2 linked regions of the Macaca mulatta genome follow. The protein of the gene in region 1 purifies or fractionates together with the protein of each later gene. This does not show direct contact. Links are inferred from orthologs where the notes say so. Each region holds a gene or a part of one and is shown on either strand. Other genes may lie near its edges.

Region 1 (4,045 bases):
GATACTTAGGTGAGGAACACACTACTTCTGCCCTCAAGGAGCTTGTGAAGAATTGCCCAGTGTTCTGAAAGCCTTGGATCACTTGTGATTAAATCCACTAATGGAACCAGGTAGTGAAGCACCGCCTGAGTGCCTTTCGCTTTCGGGCTGGGTGACCACCACTGTGACTCTTCTGCCACATACCTCCATCCATGCTCTACTATTGATCTGGCTAAGAAAACCAGCCAAGTTCACAGGCCCACGTTCTGAAAGAAATCAAGACTAACTCAAATCAGATTGTGGGCAGGAAGGATCACTAAGGAAAAGGAGAATACAGCCAGTAGTGCTGACCGCCCACAGAAAGCTCATTGGTGTGAAATGAGCTTTCACACTGGACACTGGACAGAATGTTAGCAACTCAAGGCTTTTAAAGGTTCATAAATATTTTTTGAATTAAAGAATAAGGCAATTCAATGTGTCAGGCAAAAATGCTTTGGTAAGGTTGTCAAATCGTTTCTTTTTTATAACTTTATTCATGACCTCTTTTGGAAGTCTGTCTGGAAAACATGAGGCACTAACACATTACTTGGAATTATCAACCACACTGAAAATAGTCTCTTTCCTGACTATGGTTTGTCTACAAAGAGATGTGCTCTTTGAGGGAAAAAGTTCAATTTCAGCTTTGTATTTCCTGCTTAGCCTAGCAAAGTAAAACCCAAGAAAGGATTGCTGTATAAAACAAGTCCTCATAAAACCCAGCTCCAAACCCTCCAAACCCATCTCTTCTTCCCTACCCCCGCAATGACGGTAGCTCAGTTACTTGTTAGCTGTGGCCTGTGCTCCTGCCCTGCCTCCTAACTCGTCTCTCTGCGACTTGCCTTGCCTTGTTTAACCTATTCTCCACTGCCAGAGAGTCTGATCTAATTCTAAAATCCAAATCCGATCTTTGAGTCCAAAAGTATTTCTGGAATGCTCTTCCTGAGTTTGCAGCTTGCTGCTAGAGATGCAGGTTTGGCAAATCATTTCCATTTGAAAGCCTCAATCTCCTAGTCTGTGGAAGGGAGCTAGTATAGAACTTATGCCTCAGCGAGTTGCTGTCAGGGTTAAATTAGAAAAGGCACAAGAGCAGTTAGTACACGCATGACATGCAGTAGATATTTAACAAATTAGTCACCACCAGGCACAGGTCACTTGGTGGCCCAGGCTCAGGGAGAGAAAGTTCTTATTGCATGACAACCTGGTGCAAAAACCCCAGGAAGAGGAGTGGTGTGAGGTTAGGAGGGGCTTAGCTAATGAAGGTTGGCCAAAGTGAAGCCTGAGGGCAGCAGAGGGTCTGGAACATGCCACAGTGGATCAGAATGTAAGAAAATGACTTTGGTGTGCTGGGGACGATGGGCTGGGGAGCAGAGACAATCAATCTAGCCTAGAGATGACGAAGGTCTGAGTTAAGGTACTGGCAATGGGAATGGAGGACGCATCGAAGATTTGGAGATTATTTTTAAAAGTAAAAGTCAGAGCTCCTTGACTAATAGGACACGGGTGGGAGTGGCGACAGAGAGAAAAGCCGGGCTTTTATATTTGTCATTTACCAAGACATGCAAACAGTTGAAGAGGGAGTGGGAGGATATGAAGAGGCACTTCTTACTTAAAAAGACTCCAAGGGTATGAAGTCCAAGACCCTTAACACCACCGCCCCCATCCCCACCACATATGATTTGGTCAAACTCTCCTCCACACCCTTTGACCGCAGCTTTCTTCATCTTGAGTGATTCTTGCTCTTTTCCCTCACCTTATCCCCAACCTCGTTGCCTTCGAGTTATTCTTCAGGCTCCAGCTCAGAGCTGGCCCTGCTTGTGCAGCTCTCACCACTCCCGAACATGTCAGCCCTTTCTTCTGCACCCGCCCTCCTTCCCCAGCTCCACATTCCTCCTCCCTACCACTTTCACATGAGGCAGTGACTGCTCTTCTGGGAGGGCTGTACCCCTCACCAAACCATGGGACCCAAAAGCACTTAAGCACTTGGTGACACAACTGATTCCCCAGTTGGTGGGTGTGTGCACGCATGTTTATACACATACTGCACATGTACGTATGACCGTACCTACAGATATGTAGAGAATTATATATAAATACATGTGTACGTATAACATATACATGTATGCATTTTTTTAAATTTGTTTTGTTTTTAACAAAATGAATGAGGAGGAAGAAAGTTGAATTTAGACTTTTTGGAACTATGACAGCTTTGAAAAGAGGTATCACCTTGTGTAACTAAATGTTCTGGTTCCTTGCTACCCCTTCGCCAACAGTCCTTTCGATTTCAGGAGAAGACCCTTCTCCACCCTCACCACGCGAAGCAAGGAGCAGACTCGGGTAGATCCCAGCGCCCAGAGCCTCAGTTTCCTCGTCAGCTGACCGAGGAGGCTCCCCCGCCTGTCAATCTCAGAGGCTCGGGGCGAGGCTCCAACTGGACTGAATGGAGCTACCGCGTCCCATTCAGCCCCACCCCCGGCCTGGCCTCGCGCCGCCGCTCTACCCCTAGCTCTGGGTCCTTCCCGGCCGCTGCCGCCCCCAGGCCGGGGCTCCCCCGAGGTCCAGAGCCTCCCCCGCTCCCCCAGGTCCGGCTGTCAGCTGTCAGGGGGCCGCGCGGCGGCGGCCGGAGGCGGGACGTGGGGTTTCTCTCAGGCACGGAGCAGTTCCGGCCCGCAGCTCCCCCCGCCCGCCCGGCCCTTGGGCCGCCGCCCGCAGGGGCCGCTCACCCTCCATCATCTCCTGCGACTGTTGCTGCCCCGCGCCGCGTTCCGCCGCCATGTTGGCTGCTCTTCCCCTTTCCGGAATCTGTCGCCTCAGACCCATCAACCAATCAGGGCTCCCGCCTCAGAGTCGGCCCAGCCAATAGGATTCCGGCGCTGCGAGTTCAGCCGCGGCGCGCCTGCGTGTGCCCAGCGCCTCGTGGGAGTTGTAGTTCCGTCATGAGGCTGCGCGCCGCGCGCCGCGCCTCCCCCGGGGCAGGTAATTTCAGGCAGCGGCGCCGGAACAGTCTGGAGGCGAGAAGCTGAGAAGGAAAGCAGAGGGAGTCGAAGCGGGACGCACCGGCCGTAGCTGCAGGCAGACGGAGTGGACGTCTAAGGGTGGAGAGACGCCCTGGGCTCGAGAGTTGACTTATGTCACTGTCTCGACCTCGGAGGCGTGGAGGGGCCGCGGGCCAGGCGGATCTTTCCGTGGCTGCAAGGTGCGGGCCAGTCCTACGTGCATCCCTGAGCTTTGCGAGCCTCGCTGGCTGCGTCTGTACAATGGGCCGAACGGCAAGAGCAACAACATTCTCCCGGCGTCCAGGCGCGGATTTTACCCATGCGAAATGCCGCCTTCTCTAGATGCTCAGAGCAGGCGGGCAGGTGCGGGGCACTTGCGATGGTGGGGCCGCCAGCCAGCTGGCCGGCTCCGGGGCGCCAGCCGCGCTCCCCTTGCAAACCGTTCCCAGCCCAGTGCGGACGCTGCAGGCTTCGTCTACCCTGCGGAGCCGCCCAGCCCATGAGCGAGCCGCCCCGCGTCCTCCGCCTTCAGAAAGAGGCCTCCAAGAGGCGAGCTCTGCGATACTCACCTATTTTGATCCCGAGACTGGAGGAAACCGCAGCTGACCAGCCCGGGGGCGGAGGCGCCCATTATTGCTTTGGCCCCTCCGAAGCGCCGTAGGGGGGGGGGGAAATGGCCGGTGCGTCCCTAGCAACCGTTAGCGCGGGCTTCTGGACTCTGGCTGGCTTAGTCCCGCCCATGCGCACAAGTGGTTGGTCCGTGGAGCTTGTCAATCGGTGTGAGTCGCTGTGCGATTGGCCGGTGGGATAAAAGCGCGGAGCAGCTCCCTTCCGCGGTGTGAAGCCGGCTTGGCGTGACCCTCGCCTGACCCAGGTGAGAAACCTGCGCTGGGGAGAGCGGGCCGGGGTCCGCAATCTCCCGAGGGCCGCTGTGGGGCCTGCGCGACTCCGCGCTCCTGGCCTAGGAGGGTTCGCCGCCCGGCCCGGCCCTCAGACGAGCCCGACCCCGGGTCTCCCGCCCCTGCGCCCTTCAC
Region 2 (4,007 bases), on another chromosome or scaffold:
GGTTCAGTCTGTGACTCCTAATGAGTCGGTATGTGACATAATCTACTGTGAAGTGAAGGAGACTGGTGGAGCCACGGTAGAAGAAATAGAAATGAGGAAATTAACTAACCAGGGTTTTCCCACTTTCATTCCCTGACGAGAACAAATAATCATTGCTGATACGGATTCAAATGCTGAGGACTTTCCCATACTATATCAAGGGCAGCAAACCTCCAGTTATTCAAGATCCAACAAAGGAATAGCTCAGCTAACACAGCACCTTTCTTAAAAGAGAGAAATGATAAGAAGCAAGCCCACACCTGCAATTTATTCTGAACAGCAATTGCTAAAGGATCAGAGAATCTGTTGTTTTCCATGATACCATAGATTTGACCTGATTCTCACACCTTCACACTGTTCTACCATACAACTGTCTTTTGGATAACTCTGATACCTAAACAAAATAAAAAATTTTAAAGGCCTAAGATACAGCCTAAATCATAAAAATAGTAGGCCAGGCACAGTGGTTCAAAATGTAATCCCAACACTTTGGGAGGTGAATGTGGGTGGATTGCTTGAGCTCAGGAGTTCGAGACCAGCTTGGGTAACATGCCAAAACTCCATCTCTACACAAATATAAAAATTAGCCAGGTGTGGTGGCCCACACCTAGAGTCCGACCTACCTGGGAGGCTGAGGTGGGAGGATCACTTGAGCTGGAGAGTTTGAGGCTGCAGTGGGCCAAGATCGCACCACTGCACTACAGCCTGGGTGATAGAAGGAGACCCTGCCTCAAAAATGAAAAACATTAGGTCGGTGCAAAAGTTATTGTGTTTTTTTATGGCCTAAATAAATAAATAAATGTGGTTTTTGCCATAAAAAACACAACTACTTTTGCACTTACCCAATAAAATAAAAAATAAATAAAAGTATTGTGGTATGGACAGTGTAACTATAACATTAACAATACAGCTTGAATTCTAATTCTTTTAAAACAGCCAGCTCTGTGGTCGAGCTTTGTTTTCTTATTCAAACTTTATCTTATTCATCTACCAGCAAAAGAGCTGTTTTTGGAGATGAAACAAATTACCAGAGATGACAGCAATTTGGCAAGTTTTGTAAATATATACTATTCTTCAGAAATTTGAAGTTACTGTACACACAGATTTAGTATACATAGAAAATTCCACTCCTATGCCAAATCTATGCCCCTGTATGCTTTCCACTTATTTATTCACTATTTTAAAATAATGGTACCCAAGTCGTTGTTTCCATTAAACCAGCAATCAAATAAAAGCCTTTTGGGCGATGAGGAGCATCTGTTCGGAAGGGGGAGGTGCCACGCTTGCTGTTTCTCTAAGCTCCCTGGGAAGGGAAAGACAACTCAGAAAACCTACAAACTGTAGCTCCTTCCGGTGCCCGCGTAACCCCCGAGTCCAGGAGCGGGCAGGGGCGCCGCTTGGTTGAGCCCAGTGGGCACCCGGTCTGGGTCTGGGCCAGCCCCGCCGCAGCAGCCCCTGGGAGGCGGCGCTGCACGGGCCTCCGCGCGCGCCCTGACCCCACTTGGGGGCGCCCCTGGGTGCCGGCGCGCGGGGAACGCGCTGCCGGGGTGCTGCGCCGGCTGCCACTGTTTCCCGGGACTTCCCTCTTGGAAGATCTCCAGGCGCAGGTCCAGGACGTGCTCCTGCTAGGAGTCTAGAAACTCCAGTCCAGCCCGGACCCTCCCGGGGCCTGCACTCCCTGCGGGTAGAAGCACGCGCCGCGTGTCCCCGCCGGATCCCAGAACTTCCCCGAAAGTCCTCAGCTCCGGCAGACCCTCTCCCTCGAAGTTCCCCCCGCCACCCCTTGCAAGCCCCCAGACCCCGGGGACAGCCGCTCACCTAGCCAGCGGCTCCAGTCACCGGACACCGGACACCGGACACCGGATACCCGCCGCAGCCGCTCTAGCCGCCTAACCCCGCACCTGAGCCCGCCCCGGGCGGCGCGAAGGGGTGGAGGCGGGGGTGAGGCTTCCGCCCGCCCCCTCTGGCCCCTGCGCCTCCCATGCACCCCTGCAACCCCCGAGGAAATTCCCTTCCCCCTACTCCCACCCCATGCACACTCTCGCCAAAGCCTCTCCCCAACCCCAGCACCTACCAGTGCTGGGCGCCCCTGGGCAGGGTGGCCCGATCACCCGCCACATCCACTTGGCCGCCAGAAGCCGTCGGGGAAGGGAGGGAGGGAAAGGCAGAAGCGTCCCAAGCGGCGCAGGCGGGCTGAGCAAATACTCTGACCGGGACGCCAAACAGCTCCTGCAGCCGGCCCGCCCGCGCCGCCCCGCCGCGCCCACATGCCGGGTGACTAGCGGGGCGCGATCGCGGCCCCACCCGGGCGCCTGGAGGCTCTCCAGGGACAGTCGTCGGCCAGGCTGCGTGGCCTGCGCATCTCGGGCCGCCTGGTCTGCGCGCTGTCCCCGAGCTGCGGTAGTCCGGGGTAGCCTTGCTCCTCTCCTCTCTTAGTTCGTGGGACTGGGATCTGCAGTCTATGATCTCTTGGGGACTGCAGGACTTAGATTAAATCAGCAGGTCTGGGCCTTTCCATGTTTCAGAGCTCGGGGTTCCATGCGAGGTGGAGGGTAGGAGGGTGCGCGGGCCCCACTTGTTCACTCGGCTTGGGTGCCGCAGGCCAAGGCGACTCTAGAGCTTTTTTTTTCTTTCTTTTGTTGACATTAAGTAAATGATCAAACTCTTTGGCACTTGTCGGTACAGGTGTGGCTTTGTAGGACAAGATGAAGGACGGAAAAGGCTGAGAAGGAGACCGCAGTCAACACAGACCAGGAGAAAATGAAAGAAAACTGGGGAAAAAGTTAAGATGCTGAAAGGAGTCTTGTGGATTGCAACAAGAACAGGTTGGGTTGGGGCCTGAAGACATCAGGGAGGAGCTGGCAGTCCACAGTTAGAGGAAATCTTGGAGGAAAATTCAGCAGAAGCAGAGTGGAAAGGCATTTCCACTGGAGGGCATTTTCCATCCTAGAGGAGTATGTGGAAGAAAACCGCCTGCTTTGGTGAACCCCAGATTTTATGTGTTGGGAGAGATGTAATAAATAGCAAACACCAGTAGTCCTCTCCACAGACTACCTGACCTCTTCAGGAGCCTGACCTGCTGGGTTCAAACATAAAACGTCATTCCCCGCCTTTACAAACGGCAGAAGCTATGCAGTCACATCAAGCCTCGGGGCAGGCGGCATTGTCAGGAAACAAGACCCAGCTATTTAGGAACCATTCCAGGGATCCCATCAGGGAGAAATTTCTGGTCTAAGGCTTAGTTCCTACTGCAGTTTAAATGATAGCCTATGGGGTGCTTTAGGCTGGAGTGGGATTGGCCCCTGGAAAGCTACTATGGCGAGGTCGAAATGAATCCTAGCCCTGCATGGATGGATCGGTTAACTATACAGGGTGGTTTATCTGGAAAAATCCCATAGGACACTGTGACAGCCACTTACCTTTCTCATACCCAGTCTCTCTCCAGGTCCTGACAAGTCCTTCCTTATAATAGCTCTGTCACTGTGCTACTAACCTCTGTACCTCAATTTCTTCTCTGGATAGAGTGTCTGCCTCCGTAAGTTGTTAAGAGGGTTAAATGAGATACCGCATGCAAAGGGATTAGAACAGCTCTTGGCATGTGGTGAGTGTTCAAACACATTTGCTCAGATCAGTTCATATCACATTAAGGTACTATAATTCCAGGTTCCTGCTATCTCACCCTAGGCTATGGTTCTGCCCACCATGCCACTTACATTCCAAGTCATTCCCAGGGATCCCGTCTTCCTGTTATTCATACCCTTGCATAGCTCCCCGCCACTTTGTAAAGGTTGGTTTGCTTGACCAATAGAACCCGGCAGAAGTGATGATGGTATGCCACTTAGGAGATTAGGTAAGGAAACATCTTGGAGCTTCTATCTTGAAAGAATGTTAACAGCCCAAAGGAACACACACTGTACACAAATAGCACAATCAGCTCAGAACCCAGACTCTTCCCTTTTCTCTCTGCC

The links.
Region 2: the proteins of PPP1R7 (region 1) and SH2D4A purify together in Homo sapiens (affinity purification with mass spectrometry; 3 studies listed by BioGRID and IntAct, counting the BioPlex papers as one, with this or other methods). This does not show direct contact. The link is inferred for Macaca mulatta from reciprocal best matches to the Homo sapiens genes PPP1R7 and SH2D4A.

What each region holds. Positions count from the first base shown.
Region 1 is NC_133417.1:146,420,507-146,424,551, reverse strand, and holds the start of PPP1R7 (protein phosphatase 1 regulatory subunit 7), read right to left. Parts: upstream 2,804-4,045; 5' UTR 2,791-2,803; coding exon 2,739-2,790; intron 1-2,738. UniProt on the Homo sapiens protein: Regulatory subunit of protein phosphatase 1.
Region 2 is NC_133413.1:20,954,370-20,958,376, reverse strand, and holds the start of SH2D4A (SH2 domain-containing protein 4A), read right to left. Parts: upstream 2,802-4,007; 5' UTR 2,160-2,801; coding exon of another isoform or gene 2,114-2,159; intron 2,039-2,113; exon of another isoform or gene 1,858-2,038; intron 765-1,857; exon of another isoform or gene 663-764; intron 1-662. UniProt on the Homo sapiens protein: Inhibits estrogen-induced cell proliferation by competing with PLCG for binding to ESR1, blocking the effect of estrogen on PLCG and repressing estrogen-induced proliferation. May play a role in T-cell development and function.